3 linked regions of the Elephas maximus indicus genome follow. The protein of the gene in region 1 purifies or fractionates together with the protein of each later gene. This does not show direct contact. Links are inferred from orthologs where the notes say so. Each region holds a gene or a part of one and is shown on either strand. Other genes may lie near its edges.

What was found. Proteins that work in one complex are often made in the same cells at the same time.
Region 2: the proteins of DCAF1 (region 1) and COPS3 purify together in Homo sapiens (affinity purification with mass spectrometry; 5 studies listed by BioGRID, with this or other methods). This does not show direct contact. The link is inferred for Elephas maximus indicus from reciprocal best matches to the Homo sapiens genes DCAF1 and COPS3.
Region 3: the proteins of DCAF1 (region 1) and DYRK2 purify together in Homo sapiens (affinity purification with western blotting; 5 studies listed by BioGRID and IntAct, with this or other methods). This does not show direct contact. The link is inferred for Elephas maximus indicus from reciprocal best matches to the Homo sapiens genes DCAF1 and DYRK2.

Annotation. Positions count from the first base shown.
Region 1 is NC_064838.1:55,676,640-55,683,684, forward strand, and holds the start of DCAF1 (DDB1- and CUL4-associated factor 1), read right to left. Parts: upstream 3,002-7,045; 5' UTR 2,810-3,001; intron 2,381-2,809; exon of another isoform or gene 2,074-2,380; intron 1-2,073. UniProt on the Homo sapiens protein: Acts both as a substrate recognition component of E3 ubiquitin-protein ligase complexes and as an atypical serine/threonine-protein kinase, playing key roles in various processes such as cell cycle, telomerase regulation and histone modification.
Region 2 is NC_064820.1:215,229,522-215,237,362, forward strand, and holds the start of COPS3 (COP9 signalosome complex subunit 3), read left to right. Parts: upstream 1-4,750; 5' UTR 4,751-4,857; coding exon 4,858-4,912; intron 4,913-7,841. UniProt on the Homo sapiens protein: Component of the COP9 signalosome complex (CSN), a complex involved in various cellular and developmental processes.
Region 3 is NC_064822.1:128,254,327-128,262,405, reverse strand, and holds the start of DYRK2 (dual specificity tyrosine-phosphorylation-regulated kinase 2), read right to left. Parts: upstream 3,092-8,079; 5' UTR 2,601-3,091; coding exon 2,552-2,600; intron 1,882-2,551; coding exon 1,733-1,881; intron 1-1,732. UniProt on the Homo sapiens protein: Serine/threonine-protein kinase involved in the regulation of the mitotic cell cycle, cell proliferation, apoptosis, organization of the cytoskeleton and neurite outgrowth. Functions in part via its role in ubiquitin-dependent proteasomal protein degradation.

The DNA.
Region 1 (7,045 bases):
GTAAGGGGGCAGGAAAACTAAATAAACAGAAAGGGAACAACCAGAAGGAAAAGAGAATGTTCACACATTGTCAAGAACATAAGCAATGTTACTGAACAACTTGTGCAAAAACTGTTGAATGGGAACCTAAATTGCTGTGTAAACCTTCACTGAAAACACATTTAAAAAAAAAAAATACAGTACATAAATAAAAATCTGGATGGGTAGAAATGTATTCATTTTACTATTCTTTAACTTTCCTGTATGTTTGAAATTTTTCTCAGTAAAAAGTTGGAAAAAACTAAGCAGCATTTTCTTTCCTGAATTGGATCAACTCTCAAACACATGTCAAGAGAGGAAAGCAAGGGGCAGAACTCTATAAACATATTTGTTGTTAGTTGCCATCGAGTCAATTCGGACTCACGGCAACCCCATGTACGCAGAGTAGAACTGCTCCGTAAGGTTTTCAAGGCTGTGACCTTTGGAAGCGCATTACCAGGCCTGCCTTCTGAGGTGCCTCTGGTTGGATTTGAACGGCCAACCTTTCAGCTAACACTGTACCTGAGTGCTTAATCACATGCGCTACCCATGGATGCTATCATTGTGAATGAGAAAGGTGGGTGTGTGTACAAGTGTATATCTACATCTACCTACCTGTCTCTCTTCCTTCTAGGATAAAAGGCCCCTGGAAGAATAAGGAAACTAATTGTATCTATTACTCTTCTGGCAGGTAACTTTCTGGGTGATAAAGGTAGGAGAGAGATTTTTTCACTTTTTACTCCAGCTCTACCTTTTTCCCACTATAACCTTCAGTAACTTTTTAATATAACCATAAAATCTGTTCTTAGTTCTAATACACAATAGCAAATGCCTATTCTGCAGAAACTATCCCAAAGCCAAAAATAAAGTCCATATTAAAGACAAAACCAAAAAAACTAAATCCACTGTCATGGAGTCACAGCAACCATATAGGACAGAGTAGAACTGCCCACGGGGTTTTCCAAGGCTATAAATCATTATGGACACAGACTGCCACATTTTCTCCCACAGAGCAGCTGATGAAGTGGTGGTGGGTTGCAACCTCCAACCTTTTGGTTGGCAACCAAGCGCTTTAACCACTGTCCACTAGGCTCCTCATGTTAAAGACAGGTCCCTTAAAACGTTACAATACTGAAACAACCATCTGTGGGGGAGGGGGGGAATCCAAGTTTAGAGCTTCAAGTAAAAATTTACGGAATAATTACTATTAAAATACGAGAACATATAACCTATTTAGTACCGTCCATGACCATCTCCTTTACAAAAACAACACAAGAAAATTGGCAATAAACCAACTCCAACCACTTCAAATTAACGAGTGGTTCATTCTACCAGATTCCTCCCCTATTTAAACAGCTATACAACAGGTAGAACAGTAAAACACTATTCAGCAACTACCCAAGAGATGTTGAGCGTAAGATGACTCCGTTAAACTCCCACCAATTCTGTGTCTATTATCTCTTTTCTTGTCGTGTGCCGTCGAGTCAGACTCACAGAGACCCTATAGAACACAGCAGAACTGGCCCATAGGGTTTCCTAGGCTGTAATCTTCACGGGAGCTGACTCTCTGCTCTTGAGGAGCCCCTGGTGGCTGGTGGGTTCGAACTTCCGACCTTCAATTTGCAGCACAGAGCTTAATTACTGTGCAACCAGGACTCCTTATTATCTCAACATCCAAAAATTTATCGCCACTCGAAAGTGGGTAATGAATACTGCTACGTACAAAGCCAAATCTTGACAACATCAAGTAGAAAAATATCAAATCAATTTCTAATTAAAGAGTCTAAATATACACGCTTCACAAACCTTAAAGGTAAACGCCTGCAAATGACAGGGTGACGGCAGTGGTTTTTACTACCAATGAACCCTTCAACCTGTACATTAAAGAAGCGTTTAGAACAGGAAGATGCTGCTACATGAATTAATAATTAAAACATGTAGGCTAATTAAAATGTTTCAATGAAAAGATAAAGTACGAAAGACTGAGACCAACACAAAGCAGACAAAGACGAGCCATTTGGGGCTCAAAAAGTACTACAAACACTCCAAACCTACTTTCTCAACAAATGGGAACCCAGAGCGCTACTACCGCAGTAAGAGGAAGCGAGACGGAGAGCGTTTAGAAAGAAAAGAGCTAAGCGAACACCTCTGACACCCTGTCGAAAACTGTAAACCCGGAAACAGGCTGCCGGAAAGTCGGCCCCACGCTGAGGGACCCGCACACCTCTCCAGGCCCCTCCCCTCCACCGCTGGAGTGAGAGGAATGCCCGGAAAGCCCCGCCCCCCGCCCCGTCCGAGAGCAGGGCGGGCGGAAGGGGAGGTGGCACGAGGCCGAGGGAGGGAGAGACCGCCCAGGTGACTGGGACTGGAGGCGGAGACACCGTCCGGGAAGGGGGCCGCCGTACGGCAGGGGAGATGGAGACCCCCGGCCCGTACGGAACGAAGGCTGGGAAGACTGAGAAAAAAGGTGATGAAGGGAATGAGCGGCGCCCCTTCTCCAGGTAGGGGCGGGCATGCCCCTGCCCCCTATTCCGGGCGGAAAAGTACTCTCGGGAAGCTTCTTTTGGGGACTAGAGGAAGACTATGGAGGCCCCGCCCCCGGGTCAAGAATCAAGAGGAGAAAAAGGGACTGTCAAGCCCTGGGCCCAGCCTCTCCGCCGGCCCGCCCCCTCCCCGCCCGCGGCCCAGGCAGGTGCCGCCCCTCCCCCAGCCCGGCGCCCACTCTCCCGCCCGCGCGTCCTGTCTCTCCGCCCCTCTCTGGGAGAGCCGTATCCCTCCCTTCCTCACTTACCTTCCCGGGCGGCTCCGCCGCTCCCGCCTGACCCCGCCAGCGGCCACAGTTCACACACGCACCGCCTCAAGTCCCGCACTCACACTCTCCCTCACTCACACACACACACACACACACACACACACACACACACAGACACACACAGCGCGACCACGGCTCCTGAGCGGCCCACATATTATACGTCACTCGCTGGCTACGTACCCCGCGCGCGCGCCGAGTTGGCGCCAGGCTCGCGGATAAGGGGCGGGAGAACGCTAACGCAACGCAAGCAGAGGAAAATCGGCGGGTCCCGAGGCCGCCTGGGAAATGTAGTTCTGCTTTTAGGGGCGCGGCCCACCCATCCTGATTGACGCACAGTGACATTGCTTTCTGGGATTTGTAGTTTTTACTGTAGGCAGGAACTGCTGTGGACTCATTGGCGTCTGGGGAAGGCGGAAGTGAAGTGAAGGACCGTCCGGCAAGGCAAGGCTGTGACAGCTTGATACTTTCGCAGTTCTCAGCACCTTATGTACGGTAAAACCAAAACTAAACCCATCGCTGTCGATCGATTCCCGCTCATAACGACCCTATAGGGCAGAGTAGAACTGCTCCATAGGGTTTCCAAGGAGCGGCTGGTGGATTCGAACTGCTGACCTTTTGGTTAGCAGCCACAGCCCTTAACCACTACGCCACCAGGGTTTCCTTGTGTACGGTTCAGTAATTACGTGGTGATGGGTCAATGGTCAACCCCAGAACTTCATGTAAATTCCAGTCACCGAAGGAGCTCAGAGACCTGGTAGAACATCCCCTTTTACAGATGGAGAAACTGAGGCTCAGGGTGCTGAACTAGGTCTCGTGAGTCATGGTCTCAGAGTTCCTTTGACTACAAAGCACAAACGACCCCCAGTATTTGGGGATGCTGGCATTCGACCAAAGGTCATTCAGTAGTATCAAAATTTGAAGGAGTCTTGGCGGCCCAGTGGTTAAGAGTGCCGCTGCTAAGCAAAAGTCGGCAGTTGGAACCCACCAGCTGCTCCCCGGCAGAACGATGTGGCAGTCTGCTTCGGTAAAGATTTACAGGCTTGGAAACCCTATGAGGCAGTTTTACTCTGTCCTGTAAGTTCGTTATGAATCAAAATCGACTCAAGAACCATGGGTTGGGTTGGATTTTATCAAAATTTGCCTATCAAAATTTAAGTCGCAGGTACCCCATGACCCCACTGTTCTGCTTCTGAAACGCCACCCTATAGAAACATGTGCTGTTTAAAATAGACAAGGTACTACTGACTGGAGGGATGTCCAAAACCTAGTGTAAGTAAACAAAGCAAGGTGGATAATTCCTCATGATTTCATATATATGTTTTATAAAAAATCCTAAACGTGTAATGTAGACTTTTGTATATAAGTGTATAGGAAAGGGATTAAGAAGGACATGTGCCAAAATGTTTAACGGTGATTATCCCTAGGGATAGTGCAGTGCAAAGACCGCTTTAGCGTGGCCTTCCTCACCATGGTCCTATAACTCCCACCCAAGTGATTGGTTGGGACTGTGCAAATAAGGTAATTGTGGCTGACCAAGGGGATTGATCGGCTTTGCCATCCCGCTAGGCTTAAAATGAGCCATCCCACAGGTGGGAAGAGAGGCTCTCACCACCACCAAGGAAGAAGAACCAGGAGCGGAGCGCGTCCTTTGGACCCAGGACCTCTGCACTGAGAAACTTGTAGAACCAGGTGACCAAGAAAGATAAAGAGCTATAACGCTGAAGATGGTAAGAAGTGGTGGCAGAGAAAAGGCAGCAGGAGACGGTGCAGTGGACTTTCCAGCCCACGGATGGAGAAAGCTGAGCACCTTCAGGCAGGAGGCTTGTTGGAAGAGTAGGGTGCCTCCAGACACTTGGTAGAGCTAGGTTTGCTGATCCACAGAGCTAGAGCTAAGCACCTACCCATGGAGGCCTCTTGGAGGAGTGGGGTGCCTCAGGGCACTTAACAGCAGAGCTAAAAGATCTTTTTAACACTTGCCCAAGCAGGAAAGAGGTGAGGGAACCAGAGAGAGGCATGCCTGGGAGCATGGCTGAGAAGAGGCTGTCTTGATGGAAGAACTATATCCTGAGCGTTCCTGGACCTGAATTGTAACCTGTTGCTTCCCTAATAAACCTCATAATCGTGAGTATCGTCTGTGCGTTCTGTATGGCCATTACAATGAATTATTGCATCCAGCAGAGAAGTAGAGAATGCTGTCAGAGGTAAAGACGGCAGAGAGAGGAAGCATGCCTGACCCTGCCTCGTAGGAAATCAGCCTTGGGCTGTTGATCATGATACTCCTTTGACCTTGTGAAGTTAGAGGAGGTGCCATGGCCGTGCCATTTTTACAGATGGGAAAAAGTGAAGGGGACTTGTGTATTTTACTACATGTACTTCTGTATTGTTTGTCCTTTTAATGCAAGAAATTTTTTATGTATCCTTTGTAATGTCTTTAAAAAAATTCCACCTGTCCTTAAAGGCTTCATTCAGTAGCTATTTTCTTCCTTTATTTTCTCCTCCAATCTGAGATGGCTGCTCACTCCCCCAACGTCTCCTGTGTTTTATATTCTACTCTGTGTGTCAGTATAGCCTCTGTCCCATTTCCCCCCATCATACCTAGAACATACCAGGATCTAAGAAAATATTTCTTGCAAGAATAAATACCAGAAATTACAGCACTCATTAAACAGAAGGCACTGTTTCGTTTGTTTGTTTGCTCTTTATCTTTCTGTTCAAGACGTCAATAAATATGTATTCCCAGGTTTATATGTGAGGCAGAGAAAAGGAAAAATCAGAAGCCGAGGACTTTTGATTGGACTGACCTCAGAGGCCATCTCATTCAATTCTTTCATTTTGCAGTTGAGAAAAATGAGGCCCAGAGAGGGTGAGTGGCTTGCCTAAACATTGCAAAACAAATTTAACAGTAGAACCAGAATGAATCCTGACTCTCAATCAAAGATCCCTCTTTGGGGATATGAAAGATAAACATAACTCCTTAGTTGAGTGGTTTCTCCACCTGACAAAATCCTGTCCAGCCTGAAGGCCCAACACAACTCATTATCTCTCTGGGAGTCCTGAGCAAGTTCCTGGTCTAACCATGCATTTCTAAATGGAGAAAAGGAGACACAGTGAGCCTGCTGCCATGCTCAGGTCCCATAACTAGCCAGGGCCTGGATGTTCAGCCTGTGATTGCATTCCCCACTGTCTTAGTTATCTAGTGCTGCTATAACAGAAATACCACAGGTGGATAGCTTGAAAAAACAGATTTATTCTCTCACAGTCTAGGAAGCTAGAAGTCAAATTGAGGGTGCCAGCTCCACGGAAAGACTTTCTCTTTCTGTCAGCCCTGGGTGAAGCTCTTGGTCATCAATCTTCCCCTAGATCTAGGAGTTTGTCAGCATGGGTCCAAAGGTTGAACTCTGCTCCCAGGTCTTCTTTCTTGGTGGTAGGAGGTCTTTCTCCTCTCTGCTGGCTTCTTATATCTCAAAAGAGACTGACTCAAGGTACAACCTAATACTATAGACTTTGTCCTGCCTCATTAACGTAATTGTCTCTAATCCTGCTTCATTAACATCATAGAGCTTAGGATTTATAATACAAAGCATAATTACATCCGACCATAAAGTTGGAGACAACCACATAATACCAGGAATCAGGGCCCAGCCAAATTGATGTGAATTTTTGGGGAACACAATTCAATCCATAACGTTCCACCCTTTGGCCCCCTAAAATTCATGTCCTTGCCACATGTGAAAGACATTCACCCCATATTATCCCAAAAATCTTCTGCAAAATTCCCCTTCATCTGTGAAATTTAGAATACAAGTTACCTGCTTCTAAAGCTCAGTGGAACAGGCACAAGGTAGACATTTCCATTACAAATGGGATAAATTGGAAGGAAGGGATAACAGGGAACAATCAAGTCCAAAACTCATCAGAACACATTACATTAGCTCTCAAGACTTGAAAATAATCCATTCCCTGGGACAATTTAGGCAATGACCCTGCCCTCCAAACTCTGGGTGTTGGCCACACTTTCTGGATTCTGGGTGGAGGCTCCTGAGCCCTGGGCTTCAACTCTGCTTTTCAGCCCCACTGGGACGGCAACTCTGCTCTCTTGGATTTTGGCGGCCCCATTCTCCTAGTCCATCCGAGTGGCGACCCTGCCCCCTCAGACCCAGCGGTCCCCATTCTTCTGTCCCTTGGGCATGGCAGCCCCATCCCCTCAGCTTTGGA
Region 2 (7,841 bases), on another chromosome or scaffold:
CTGTAATCACATCTCTTTCAATCACTTTATCCTTGAGAGGAAGAAAGAAGGGTGGAATTACTCTTAGCTATTTTGAAATGAGTGTGACGTTTATCCTGGTCCATTTGCCACTATCCAGGTATTTAAGCTTCAGTGTGCATCAGCATCACCTGCAAGCCAAAAACCAAACCCATTGCCATCGAGTTGATTCCAACTCATAGCGACCCTTTAGGACGGAGTAGAACTGGACCGTAGGGTCTCCAACGAGCGGCTGGTGGATTCGAACTGCAGAACCTTTTGTAGCAGCCAAGCGAATTACCTGCAGGGCTTACTAAAACAGATTGTTAAGCACCACCTTCAGAGTTTCTAAGGTAGCAAGTGTAGAGTGGGGCCCAAGAATTTGCATTTCGATCAAGTTTCCAGGGATGGTGATGCTGCTCTGGGAACTACAGTTTGAGAACCACTGCCACAGTCTAAGAAAACATTGTGGGTATTATGAATTGCTGTAATGCTTTACCTCTCTGCAATATGTTTTGGGCTCTCATTAAAATCTGCGTACACTTACGGAAACATGTCCTATGTGTCAAAATATCTGTCTTGTGTACCACAAGAGATCAAAGATTGAGGGCCACTTGCTGCCATGAAGTGTTCAGGGGCATTGCCATCTTCGAGTGACAAGTGTTAAACTCATTCATCTAAACACGTCTCATGTCCACCAATTTATTTCCATCTCAACTTTTAAAGTGCAATTACTACTATCCTATCTCATGTCAACTACTCATGTCAGCTCCTAACTGGCTCTCTGAAGTTATCCACCTGAAAGCAGACTAGTTTTTTCTGAATGTAATCCTATCACACTACCCCCTTGCATAAAACTCGCTGATGGCTTCTCAATCTTCTCAGGAAAAAGCCGAGTATCTCTAACACAGTTTACAGGAGATGAGCCTGTAAAAATGTCATGATGCCAGACCTCGTCTAACTTCAGAGAGAGAGAGAATTACCATCGACATCAGCCCAAGGCTGATCCCTGTGAGGCAGAGGTCAGACATACCTCCACTCTCCAGACTTTTTACCGATTCTGACACCAGATGTCCCTCTGAAAGCACTCTCTATTTCTCTGCTGGGTTCAACAATTCATTGCACTGGCCACACAGAATTCATATCCTATACTCACAAATTCTGGGGTTTATTAGGGAAGTAACAGGTTACAATTCAGGCTCAGGAATGACTCAGGATACAGGTCTTTCATCGGGAACATCTTCTCGGCCATGCCTGAAGGCAGGCCACTCCATGGGCGGCTTGCCCCTCAGCCTGGTCTCTGCCCTGCTAGGGCAAGTGTTACGAAGCTTTTTAGCTCCACCAATAAGTGCCCAGAGGTCCCCCACTCCTCCAGGAAGCCTCTTGTATGAACGCTCTTAGCTCTCTTGCTCAGTGGGCTGGGAAGCCCACTGTAGCCACCTCGCTCCGTGGGCTGGGAAGTTTACTGTGCCATCTTGCACCAGTCTCCTAGTTTTGCTGCTGCTGATTCTCTGCCATTAGACTCTGCCATGCTTGCCGCCACTTCTCACTATCTTTAAGCCAGCACTGGTGTTACAGCTGTCTTGTCTCCTGGGTGTAGGAGCTTCTCAGCACAGGGACCCTGGCTCCAAAGGACGTGTTCTGCTCCTTGCTCTTCTTGATGGTACAAGTCACCCTCTGCTTCTGGGATTGGCTCCCTTTAAGCCTAGTGGGATGACAAAACTGACCAATCCCCTATAAGGGTTCCAAACACCTTATTTACATAGTCTCACCCCTGCAGGTTTCCACGTACCTTATCTGCATTATTAGCAGGCTGTCCAATCCCCTTGGTCCGCAAGCACCTTATTTGCATAATCCACCCAATCATTTTGTGGGAATCCCAAGATCATGGCTAGAAGGGCCATTTAAAGTACAGCTCCTTGATGTACACCCAACCCTGGACAGGTGAGACCAACAGATTATTAGTCACATATACTCACATCTTGCAAGAGGAGGACATCACATGTCTTGCAGGGCCACGTAGGGTTGTACTTGGGAGCAAAGTGAACAAGCAGGGGCTGTGGGAGGCAGGCTTTGCAGCGCCAAGTGGGTGGCGTGCCCCTCGTTCTGATGGGAGAATATGATTGGCTTGTGACATGGAATATAAAATCAAGTGGCATCTGACCTCAAGTAAAATGGCTGAACTAATGCTATGGCTCAGTGTAACCTTTCACACAGATTCCAACACTATTGCTTAGGAACCATCCCTATCATTAAGGAAATGGTTTTCTTGGTTAAAAAAGTAGATACTGTATGTCCTGTGGTCTATAACTAAACCATATCTAAACCCTTTGTTTCAGATCCCCTCAGGAGATTTTATGCTCTGGGCAAGGTAATGTTAACACTTTCCCAACAGTATCCACCACGCCATTTTTTTGTGACGGTCATGACACTCCCTCTGAGACCACATACCTTGCAATTATGTCCTTCAGCCAATCAGTGTATTCCAGCTGTATTAATGTAACCAATAATGTTAAAAATCACGCTTTGCTTTGTCCCGCCTTTGATTGACCTAAATCATTGTGAACCAATCAGAATATTGTGTTCTGTAGTTCTTCCTATGGCACTATAGCTATGTATGATTTGCACCCCCTCCCTTGGATCTGTGAACTTCAGACTCTGAGGTTTCCAAGATCCCCATCTGAATGATATATTGGCTTCAATAAATCCCTTTGATTTTACTTTAATAGAGTTGGAGAGTCTGTTCTCTACAACACTTGTTTGAGTAATTCCCCAATCTGGCAGGGAACTAAAACCCAATATTCAGGAACTGTGCCTGGTACCTTAGATAAGAAAGGTTGTTTAGGTAGGGCACCTTATCCGCAAGAGCAGAGTGGGTAGGGAAACATGCGGTGAGGCCATTTGAGGCCCTTATGGTTTCAGATGTCAAGGCAGCACATAATGAACCTTAATTTTAGGTCTTACACCACATCCATGTCTACCTTGCAGTCTCACCCCATACCACTGCCCTCAAACCCCAAGGACCTGCATTTAGTTCCTCCCTCAAATAGCATGCTCCCTCCCATACGAGGGTCTTGGCACATGCTGTTCCCTCACATAGGAAACTTTCTTTCCTTTTTTGCTTATTAACTCCTGCCCTTCCTTCAGAGCTCTGTTTAAGTGTTATTTCCTCAAGAAAACCTTCCCTGTCACTGCCATGTTGCATGATCTTAGAGAACCAAGTTCCATTCCTAAACAGCACTGACCCCTTTTTTCTAGTCTTTATTGCATGAAAGGAGGACCATAGCTGTTTTTACTCACGAGTGTATCCCCAGTGCCTAGCACAGAAACTAGCACATTGTAGGTGCTTGTCTTAGTTATCACAAATACCACAAGTGGATGACTTTAACAAACAGAAATTTATTCTCTCACAGTATAGGAGTCTGAATTCAGGGTGCCAGATCCAGGGAAAGGCTTTCTCTCTCTGTTGGCTCTGGGGGAAGGCCCTTGTCATCAATCTTGCCCAGGTCTAGGAGCTTCTCAGCACAAGGATCCTAGCCAAATAACACTTTGTTCTTCTGGACATCTTGGTATGATGTCCCCTTGACTCTCTGTTTGCTTCGATCTTTTATATCTCAAGATACAACATAATCGTGTAGATTGATTCCTGCCTCATTAACAAAACTGCCTCTAATCCCACCTCATTAACATCACAGAGGTTAGGATTTACAACCCCTAGGAAAATCACATCAGATGACAAAATGGTGGACAATCACACAATATTGGGAATCATGGCCTTGCCAAGTTGACACACATCTTGGGGGGACACAATTCGATTGGTAACAGTGCTCAATAAATACTAGTTGAAGTTTTCGCAATGAGTATTTATTCAGTCCCTAATATGCACTAAATCCTGTGCTAGCCCCGAAAACGGAATGGAGTTAAGACAGATGCTTGATTTCATGGAACTCACTAGCAATGGATACGGTACTAATTAAAAAAAAAAAAAAAAGAAATGGCCACATGAGCAGTACAAACTGCTTAGGGAGTAGAGTGGTGAAGGGACAGATCAATTCCAGAGACGAAAAACCAAACCCATCGCTGCGGAGTCAATTCTGACTCATAGGGACCCTACAGGACAGAGTGGAACTGCCCCCATAGAGTTTCCAAGGAGCACCAGGTGGATTCGAACTACCGACCTTTTTGGTTAGCAGCCTTAGCACCTAACCACTACACCACGAGGGTTTCAATTCCAGAAAGGAAAACCAATTTATCCATCAAGTATCTAACGTATAGTTCTATGTGCTAGGCACTGTTCTAAGTGCTGTAGGTTGTTGACGTCACTGTGCGAATTTTACATGTGGGGAATCGGAGGCACAGGCCGATCAAGTAAGTTGCTCAAGGTCACACAGTTCCCAAGCAACAGAAAGGGGATTTCTAACCCAGACTGCCTGGCTTCAGAATCTATGCTCCACTACCTCATAGGAGAAAACTTTCGGAAGAGGTGGTCAGTGAGCCGGGTCTGAAGCATTTGGCTAGGTGGATAAACGGGGCAGCCATCCTAACAGAAGCTGAAAATATGACCTACATTATGAGTTTTGTTTCTCCCTTTGGCTCAAGATGGCTGTGGGGACCTATTACACTAGAGCACAGGATTAAAAAAAAGAGAAATTTAATTTCCGGCTACGGCGAGTACCGGAACGGTTTCCACGGAAACAGTAACCGGGTCCCAGGCAGGTGAGCTCTCGCGGTGCTTGAGCAGGCGGAAGTGACGACACACCCTTCGGTAGGCCCTCGGGTGAACCGGTGCCGCCCCTCCTCCCCGAGCGGCCGCTTTTTCCCGCCGAGCTGCCTCTGCTGCTTGGGCAGCCAGGGGGAAACATGGCGTCTGCCCTGGAGCAGTTCGTGAACAGTGTCCGGCAGCTCTCGGCTCAAGGTGAGGCCACGGGCCGTGGCTGGGTCTGGCGCGCCCGCCAGGCCCCCAGGTGATGGGGCTGTGGCCCCGACGCCGGCGCGGACGGGCGGGCTGCCCTTTTCGTCCCGAGACCCTTGTCTGGGACTGGGCTCGAGGCGGCGGCGCTGAGACCGAGGGCCGGGCGCTGCTGACTGAGCCGCCCCCTTCGGTCTCAGTCTCCATCGCCGCCGCTACCCTCGGGGCCCGCCGCCAGCCCTCCCTTGGCCGCGCGGACCCTCTCTTTCGTCCACCCGGCCCGGGCCCCTTCCACGGGGCGCTGCTCTTGACAGTTTGGGGGCGGCAACTTCCGCCGGACTCTTCCGGGCGCCCATTGGCCCCTTCCTTCGCCCTTCCCGTCGGTGATTGGTGAGCTACCTGTCGGTCCCGGCAGCCCTGGGCCGCCTGCTGACTAGGCCGCGGGGCCGGGCGGGCAGCGAAACAATCCAGGGCGCCCGGCGCCACGGTTTCAGCATCGCCTGCGTCCCCCCGCCCGGCCCCTGCGGCTGTTGACCGGCTCACGCCCGGGACGCCTCTGCGCGCCTATTTGAGTCCTACAGATGCAGAAGACACCCTCGCTCATAGGACTCCATTTCTAGGGGTAGAATTGTTCCCGTTATTATTTTCCTCTTAATTTCGCTGTTAGGCTCATTCATCTCAACATCTGAACGTAGAGCACCGGCCAGACTCCTGGACTCAGGAGTTAGAGAAATTAGATACTAGATGCGAAGGCCCCTTTAGCTATCTCGTGCTATCTATAAAGTTATGAGGATTCGGTGAGAGAAACCGTGTATAAAAGCACTTGGAACAGTGCCTGCCATATAAAGGGCAATAAGTAAAGTTAAAAATTATTGTTAACAGCCATTAATTGTAACATGCTAGGAGCTGTGCGATCTTGGACGAGTCACCTTTAATCTCTTGAGTCTCCTTTGTAAAAATGAAGATGTGATATTTCCCTCCCTGTTATTGTAAGCCCTGAATGATCTGCTGTGTAGCCGTGCTTAATACATAATAGTTCTCGCTCATTTTCCTTATTAGTGATAGAAATTTGGCTCACAGAAGAGGGATAGACTTGCATTTCTGTATGAATGAGGGAACCGTTCATTTATTCCACACACACTTAGTTTGTACTTCCTGCGATGTCATGTGGTTAGAAGAGCCCAGTTGGAATCTCAGTCGCTTAATTTCTCTGGCACAATTTCCTTTTTTATAAAATGGTAATAGGACTGTTGTGCAAATCACATGGGATCCCTTACCTGAAAGCTTTGGGTACATACTTGGCAAGACACCGTTTTAGGGGCAGTCTGCCAGTCAGAGGTGAGTATAATACACTCACTGCCCTCAGTTTCTGTGCCTCCTGCTCACTGCAGATTAAATGATTTTTTTGCTATTTTCTCTGCTTTTATTCAGAATTTTCTAACATGGACCTTAAATGATGGGGATGTTATAATTACCAACTTTCTCTAACTAGAGGGAATTTCATAGGCAGCATCTCTGGTTGTGTTCATTTCAGTGCACCTTGACGCACTGAAACTGACTTTTGACTTTCCTCTTGGCTGGGCACTATCATGATTTTCCGGTGGCCCAGCTTATATTTGTCTCAACTTGGCCTGGTTATTTAATTGGAGGGAAAATAATGGGCTGAAATGCTTGCTTCTGGATGTGTCATATTGTTGTAAATGTATTTAAAGAAAAAAGGGGCAAGTAATTCAACTAGAAGAAGCTGATTATTTCATACCTACTAGTGAGATCTATGGAGCCCTGGTGGTACAGTGGTTAAGAGCTGGGGCTGCTAACCAAAAAGTTGGCAGTTCGAATCCACCAGCCACTCCTTGGAAACCCTGTGGGGCAGTTCTTCTGTGTCCTATAGGGTTGCTCTGTATCAGAATCAACTTGATGGCAACAGGTCTGGTTTTTATTTTTTAGTGAGATCTCTGATAAAATGATGGTGACATGATAGTTCTCAGTTCAATCTGTGTTTTTATCTTGAAACTTGATACCTAATAAGATCATGGGTATATGTTTATTCTTGTTTTGTGATGCATGTAATAATAATGAAATGTTTCCTTTATTTTTTGGTAAAAGTGATCAAATCTAAAAAGTATGGTATAGATACCCCAGAAATTAAATTATCAAGGTGCGTGGCTACAATCGCTTGGATTTTAAGCATTATTCTATTTAAGTGTTTTATTAAGAAAGGAAACATAACACAGCTACTAAATAGAAATAGCTAATATTGGTACCTTGAAGTTCAAAATGTAGAAGAGAAACATCGAAGGAGGAAACTTAAGAGACTAATGCCCATGGACTTGTATATACACCTACCACTCTCAATAAAACAGCCAGTAGAATATGGTAGTATACAGTGTGACCATGGCATCTGTCATCAGAATAATTATCAAAATGGGTAAGTCCACTCAAAAGGAACAATTCAAGCCCAATTAAATTCTGTACCTTAGTTGTTAAAACGTAACAGTGTTGTTGTTAAGTTGTTGTTAGGTGCCCTTGAGTCGGTTCCAACTTATAGGGACCCCACACACAACAGAACGAAACACTGTCCAGTCCTGCGCCATTGTCACAGTTGTTGGTATGCTTGAGTCCATTGTTGTAGCCACTGTGTCAGTCCATCTCGTTGCGGGTTTCCTTCTTTTTCGCTGACCCTCTCTTTTACCAAGCACTGGGGACAGATCCCTCCTGATAACATGTCCAAAGTATGTGAGATGTAGTCTCGCCATCCTTCTAAGGAGCATTCTGGTTGTACCTCTTCCGAGACAGATTAGCAGTCTATGGTATATTCGGTATTCTACACCAATACCACAATTCAAAGACGTCAGTTATTCTTCGGTCTTCCTTATTCATTGTCCAGCTTTCACGTGCATATAAGATGATTGAAAACACCGGGGCTTGGGTCAGG
Region 3 (8,079 bases), on another chromosome or scaffold:
AAAACTAAACAAAAATCAAAACCCAAATTCTCACTTTCAAAATCAGGCATCTAATTATTAACAACATATTGAAGTTCACTTAAGCTAAAATCAGGTAAATCAGGCAGCTGCCACAACAAAATACACACACCCATCATTAGGAGCTCTGAGAAGCACGCCCACATCTTTTCATTTGGGGTGAACCACAGGCTCTTCTCCCAGTGTAAACCTTTCGTTTTCTCTAAATTCACTGTGTGTTTTAATGACAAAGAGTCTCTGATCAAGCAAAGCCCAACTTTATAAAACTGGAAGCCACACGCAAACCAAGTATTTCTTTCCCAGTTCACACCAAGTTATATGATGACAACACCACGTGAAGAAAGTTGGGTGCTGTATTTTCCAAATTCTCAGATGTTTTGAAACCAAACCAAAAAAATACAAACCCCTAAAACCAATGCAGTTCCTCCACTGAAACGACACTGTGACAAGAACATTCAACCATAATACACAGCATCACCTATGGTACTGACATGACTCTACTGTCAACATCCAATACAGGTTAGTCGACTTCTCTGTAGTGAATTCCTAGCCCCTAGCCCCTGGGACTAATTGTGTCAAAGGAACAACAACAACAAAAACTGAGAACAAAACGTTTTCCTATGAAACTTGTACACGCTTCTCCAGGTCTAACAGGCCTAACTCCACTCCAGTCATCCTCTCACAAATTCTCCTCTGATAAACAGCTTGCCCATAACACATACGTGGCCCTCAGAGCTATTCCCTTGTGGGTTAGAAATGGTCTTTTCAACTTTCACTGGGCAAACCAGCCCTAGCAAGCATCCCTCATACAGAACCATCCTAGGCAGTTTCTCTGGAAAATCCAGCTGGAAAAAGACCTCTGAAACCATCACCTCCTCCAAGCGCAGGCCTCCTCTCCGCTGGCAGTCACCATCCATGGGCAGTCCCTGGGAGCTGAGAAAAGGTACATGCTGAAGTCAAATCCAGTTTGCCAATCTCTGCAGCCACCAGTTCCATGCTGAGCTCTCCCTTCCCTCTGGCCCCCTTAGGGACCCACAGCACCTATCAGGTGCCCTTCCCTTCCCATCTCCAAAGCAAAGCTGACTCTTTCCTTTAGAATAGTGCCCAACTGCAGAATCCTAAAGGGGTGGTTTGTTTTGTTTTGACTGCTGCTGCTGCTCTTATTTTCGTTACTGTTAATTACAATTTCTGCTGCGCTCAAACCTGTAGCACTCATAAAACATGCTTACACACGCGGGGTACAATTGGCAGCGCTCCCTGCTGGCTGGAGAGGCCTGAGAGGCTCTTTGGGGGATTGATTTTCCGGGCTGGACGGCCGGCTGTCCCCTAACACATATCTGTTTCTATAAATACCCACTACCCACAAGGGGGTAGGGATGTTTACCCGGTCAGGGATGGGAGCTCTGGGAAGCAAGAAGGAAAAAAGAGGGAAGAGCGAAGGAAAGCGGCAAGGAGGAAGTTCCGAGGAAGAGGAGGGCAGCGGTGGGCGGGCTCGGGAGGGGAAGTGAGGGCCCACGCCAGGAATCTTCCTTTGTGGCTGCAGCTTTGCGCTCGCCCAACTTACAGAGGGTGGCGTCAAGAGGCCACTGGCCAGGGGCGTGGAGCCGCTCACTTCGACCTCTCTTCTCCGGAAGTCAGAGCCCCACAAGTCCGGAGTTTTTTGCCCCGGGCCCCCTCCCGACCTTCCCCCGGCCGCCCGCGGGCTGGATCTCACCGTGTGGGCTGCGGCGGCAGCGTTGCTGGCCCGGAGAGGCGGCAGGGCGATGGGGGAGGGCGGGCCGGTCCCCACTCCGCTCCGGGGGGCCCCTGCACCGAGCCCCGGGGAAACCTGAAGCTGACGAACGGCGATGTCCCCTCCTCGGCCTGGGACCACGCGCAGGAGGAGACAAAAGAGGGTCAGGGGGTAGAAAATCACCCGGACCCCGTCGCCCCGCCCCACCCCTCTGGGTAGCAAACCCCCCCTCCCCGAGAGAGAAACCGGGAAAGTAAAAAACGGGTAGTGAGCGGCGGAACGGAGGTCCGGGGCGCGGATCTCCAGCGCGCACCCACGGGCGGAGCCCAGGCAGCTGCAAAGTTAAGTCTGGTCCTCGCACGCGAGTTCGCGACCCCTTGGAAAAACCGAGCTAGGCCGGGGCTTCGCGGCCCACGCTGCAGGCAGCAGCTGGCCGAGAGAGGTTAGCGCCGCCGAAGAGGGCTCAACAGACTCCCCAGGCCCCGAGCTGTCCCCTCTCGTCGGCTCCAGCTGGGGGAGGCCCAGGACGGCCCCCGCCCGAACCCCGACGGGCCGGACCACGGCTGGGCCGGCGCACTCCCTCTCGGAGGAACCTTCAGCCCCGCGAGCAACAATGAGCAGAGCCGAAGCGAGGGCGCGCCGTGCGCCCGGGGGGCTCCCCCGCGCCGCCCGGCTGCGCCGGAGACTTTGTTCCAGGTCCAGCCGGCGGCGGCCGCCTGCGCCACGAGGGCTCGCCCGGGGCTGTGCCGGGGCTGGCAGGGGCGGGCGCCGGGGTCGGCTCGCCGGCCCGGCCCTCCTTACCAGTCGGGTAGGCGGCAGGAGCGGCGGCCGAAGGTTTCCTGGTTAACATGGCCGCTGGAAAGGAAAATGCATTTCAGAGCTGCCGTCTCCGCCGCCGCTGCTGTTCCTGCCGCTACTTCTCGAGGCCGCCGCCGCCTCCTGGTCGCTCCTCACGCGGGTCTCCGGCGCCTCCTCCCCGCCTCGCGTCAGCTACAGGCAGACACACACAGTCCGCTGCATCCCCTCGGCCCGGGCCCGCAGCAGCGAGCACCCCGCTCTCCTCCTCGCCGCCGCCGCCGCCGTCCTCCTCTTCCTCGGGCGGCTGCAGCACCCTCCGGCCCGTGCACATGCCTCGCCCTCCCCTGCGCGCCGCTTTTCTCCCCGATTCCCTCACATAGGGGCGCGGGGGAGCGGCCTGGGCCGCGAAGACCGACTCGCTCGGGAGCTTCTTCCTGGGCTCGCTCGCGCGCCCGCGCGCGCGCCCCTGCGCACGCACGTACACACGCGCGCACACACACACACACACACACACACACAAATGCGCACACACACTCCGGCCCCAGCCCGCGGCGCGGACCAGGAGGGCAGCCCCGCCCCCGCTCCCCACTCCCGCTGCAAGCCCCTCCCCCGGACTCCCCCCACACCCTAGCCTCACACCCTCACGTACACCCCACCCCCATCCAGCCACCCTCAGGAGTCCCTCCCCCACTAAATCATCTTCATAACCACCCCTCCACTCCCCGGAAAACTCTGCAGCCTCCGCCTCCCCCTCCGGCCATCTGCGCCGCTCCCCTCGGATCCCCCAGTAATAACCTTTTCCCCACCTCGGCCTTTCCAGCTCCTGCAACGCCCCTCTTTTTCCCTACAGTGCAACTGCTACTGAAATCGCTGCAGAGACCCCTCTCCTTCTATGCGCGCCCCGAAATACAAAAGCATCTTCAGATTTTCGAACCTAATGGGTTCTCGCAAACAATACTGCCCTCCCCCCTTTTTCCGGTCCCCGCCAATAATTTTTCACGTAGATAACTCAGTTTGGGCAGGTCACCTCTAAGAGTCAAGCCCCCTGGAGGACTGCAGTTTAGCTGGGTGACCCTGAACACGGGCGAAGGAGAGGGCGCCCTCCCACCTCCACCTCTACCGCACACACCCTCCCGGATTTACTGACACCAAGTGACCGCTCTCCAGTCGCTATGGCAAGGGGAGGCAGAGTGGCGCGTGTGGAAGGCAGCAAGGGAAGCAGTCGGCTGTGGGTTGCTAGGCAAAAATAAACATCAGAGACACCTCCCATTTCTTTACAACTCTGAGCCTTTCCCCAGAGCAGCCACTGGGAGAAACACACCTTCCTTTCAGCTTTCTGGCATAAGGGAGAGACACCTCTACTTCCTCTCACCTCCAGAGACGAGTCTTTTCCTCTTTCATTCCAAGACACAAAATTTCCCTACCCTTTTGGTTTACCATCTACAACCCCTCTTTCCCTTGAAGGTGAAAAAACTCTTGCCCGTCTCGCACTCGCGCGCCCATAGTGCTTGGCACACGACTTTGTCCAAAGGTCATAGGTTTTGCCACTTCATCAGTTAGGAAAAAAAAAAAAAAAGAAGCCGGGCAAATCCCGGATGAAGCTGCAGAAGGCAATGCTGTGCACTTCCTCCCTGAGAGGTGCCCTGTTTCTGGAGTTCTTCTGGGGACATGAGTCCATTATGCTATGTCCCCGTTATATCTTCAGGCCCTTGCTTGAACCAAGTGTACAGGCCTGAAGAAGCGCAGGCTCAAACCAAATCGTAAGGGAGCCACCTCCTGCTGGAGTCCCATTGGCCCTGCTGTTTGCAAATTGCCATAGCAACCTCCTGCAGAGATCATCCCAAGTGTAGCCAGAGTCCAAGCTACATCCCCACCCTCTGTACTAATGCCGAACACTGTTTCAAGGTTCAGCTTGACTCCCTCAAGGTCTCCCGATCTCCTATGAGGCCTGAAGCGTAGGGAACATTGCCAGAGAGCACGGGTGGCAGAGTAGAATTTTGCCTAGTTATATCCAATAATGTAAGAAAAAAAAAAAATCCATAGGTGCCTTCTAATAAAATATTAAGGAGCCCTACTGGCGCAAGGGTTAAACACCGTGCTGCTAACCAAAAGGTCAGCGATTTAGTACCCACTAGACCCTCTCTTAGACCCTCTTTGGGGGAAAAGACGTAGTGCGCTCCTGTAAAGATTACAGCCTAGGAAACCCTTGTGAGGCAGTTCTACTCTGTCATATAAGGTCCTGTGAGTCAGAATCGACTCAATGGCACACAACAACCATAAAACAGCTAGTACCACAGTAAAATAATCAATCCAATAACATGCCCTTAGAAGAAACAAGGCCTGATCTGGCCCCAGCAAGAAATGCTCTGCTAAACTTGTCATCTAAGGCTATCAAATTCAAATGCACTTGGGAAAACATACTCTGTGTTCAGAAGAATAAACTAAGAGAAAGGCTAATTAGTAGCAAAGACGAAACTAGAGCCCAGGTTTCCCGATTCCCAGTATAATTTCATGTTTCCATTACGCCACCATGGATAGCTCACACCCCTTTTCCTTCCTGCCTCTTTTAAAGTGATTGTTTTCATACCATTTTACTTTTTTAATGAGTACCCCATGCAACTGATGTTCAAAAAAAGTTTGAAGCAAAAAAATCAATTTTAACATAACCTGACACCTGACACATTTTCACTTAAAATATTTTTAAAATATTTTAGTAGAAGCTAAATATGCTGCTGTTTTTTCATGATTATGAAATGTTAAGTATCAAAAAAATGCTAAGTACCAAAAGTCATGGTGACTGCCAAATTAGTAATAATAATTTACACCTTAAATATGAGAAAAAAAGGGGCCTAAAACAATTTTTTTAAATAAAGAGAAACAAAGAATCATTAACTTCAAACAAAAAAGAAAAAAAAATTTAGGGAAATTTTATTGTATATCGTTTCATATACAACTATCAACGTTTCAATTTATATTTTGTTGTTTCTTAATTTAAAGAAAATTTGAATTTACCTAATCCTTAGCTAATTTAATGACAAATGGCAAACTTTGGAAAATGATATTAATTCTTATATATTATAGACCTCTAAAACAGTGTTTACAATTCTTGTAGGTCTCTCATTCTGTTAAATAATGATAACCTCAAACCCGAATGAAGGTCAAATAGATTCACGATTCACTCTTTGGGCTTTTAGAGAGAAGGGACAGGGCAAAACTAGGAGTTATTATTCTCAAACTTTATTACGATAATGTATCGCTATCAATTATACTGTATATTCATCTCTTTATAAAAATCCTTTTGAAAATCTTATCATATTTAATCCTCACAACTTAAAATCAGACCAGAGCCATGTTGACTTTAAATAGCAACCTCCTCAGCAGGTTCCATTCAGTTAGTAAGAGTGTCTGCTTTTTGATTTTTTGGCCATTGTAAAAACTGTTCTGTAGTTTATAAAATCCAGCTTTAACTAACAAGTAGGTAGTCAGGATGTAGCAGGACTAGAGGGAAAACAATTTTGAGGGACTCAAAAAAAAAAAAATTTTTTTTTTCTTCATAATTGAGCCTTTTGGAAGGAAGTTAATTTTCCACTGGGAAAAGTACTGATCACAAAGAAAATTAGAAATGAACAAGAAAATTGCTCATTTCAAACACATTCACTCGTCTAATCCCCTTATCCCAGAAACGTCTAGGCCTAGGGGACATAATGAATAATCAGATGTAATGGACTAGGCTTTGGTTGGATAATCTCTTAGGAACTCATTCTATTATTCAATTACACAATAAACATTAAGCACCTAACATAATTTTGACACTATTAGCACCAAGACTACACAGTTAAATAAATAATCCCTGACGCTAGCTCTGGTCATTGCTATTAAGAAGTTTATGATTCAGTAGGGGAGGTAAGACATTTAATGATATGATAGGGGTGAAACACGAGGCATATAGGCACAAGGGTGGTACACAGGTGGTTCACAGTGATGAACTCTACTTAAGTGGTGTTTGACATCAAAGAGGCTGTGCTTCAGTGAAAGTTTTAAGCATACTTGGGAGTTTGCCAGTCAGACAAGCTGGGCAAGGACATTCTAGGGCAAAAAAAAAAAAAAGAAAAAAACTGTAGAGGTGCCAAAGTGTGAGAAAGCATAGTTTGTTCCCGAAAGTGTGAGCAATTCAGAATAGAGGGACCTTGGGTTGACAGGGAGAAGGGTGGTGCTGTTATCTTCATAGGGTTAGAGCTATGAATAGATTGATTCAGGTTAAGAAGTATTCCAAATTTCTCCTCCTGTGGAAATGTGAACGCAAGGTACAGGTCTTTTGAAAGAACTAGGTAGAAGAGTGGGTAATGTGGGTTTAGCTCCCTTTAGGAGAACATCATGAACTGATTGGTCATTTCCTGGGTCCCTTCCATGAGTCCATCACCACGGTCCAATACCATCTAAAGAAGACTATGAAGATCTTAAGGTCTGAAGTCCATGAAGGTGACTTCCTCAGATCCAGTGGGCATGGGCATCATAACTAAATGACCATAAGGTATCCAGATTTGCCTCTGGAAGGTGGATCTGTGGCCATAGCTGGTGTGGAAATCAAGAAGAGATTTCTATACCACTAGAAAGTTGATGATCTAAAGCAGACTGTTTGTGTTTTGGCCAGGGTACATTCAAAAGTCAGTTTTCTTAAGCCTAGGTGACGTAGGGTGCATTTTTCCCCGAGGCAAGCTGTGTATCTGGGCACACTGAGGATGTAGTCCAGCATTTTGTGGGATCAGTTGGTCTGCTTTTTCTATCTACACCTCGAGGACAGAGTTAATGTTAAAAACCAAGAAGTGGGAAAAGAGAAAGCTATATCCTACAAGTGGGGAGGGCTTTGATACAGAGCTATAGACAAAGCTCAGTAGAACTTCTGCCCAAGACAAACCTTTGGAACCACCATGACAAATGCCAGCAAAGAGGTGCCCAGTGTCCATCAGCTTGGAAGGGTAGGAATGTCATCACTACGTAGGGACCCCAGCAGCTGGCCCCCAGACTAGTCCTTTCATGGTAGTGGCCACTATTGGAACAGCTCATAGATATGTCGCCAGTGGAATCTGCTTCCAGGAAACAGGCGCATCAGGCTGCACGGGGAGCAGCAAGCTAGGTACAGGCTGATTCCCAGGCAGAGGGAATCACACTGGGAGCTGTATCACTTTACACAGGTAAAGTGGTAGCAGAAGTTATGAGGGAATCTCTCTACTAGAGTGTTTGCTATGAGGGGAACAATGATACAATTTTGCAAACCAGAGAAGAATAGGGAGAAGGATCTTTTGGCAATCCAGGTCTTGTGGTTTCTAGTTCCACTCTAATCAGAATAATTTCATGCGGTAGCTGTTGTTTCTAGGTACCATCGAGTTGGTTCCAACTCATAGCCATCCTGTGTACAACAGAATGTAACACTGTCCAGTCCTGCACCATCCTCACAATCATTGTTATGCTTAAACCCATTTTTACAGCTACTGTGTCAATCCACCTCATTGAGGGTCTTCCTCTTTTTCAGT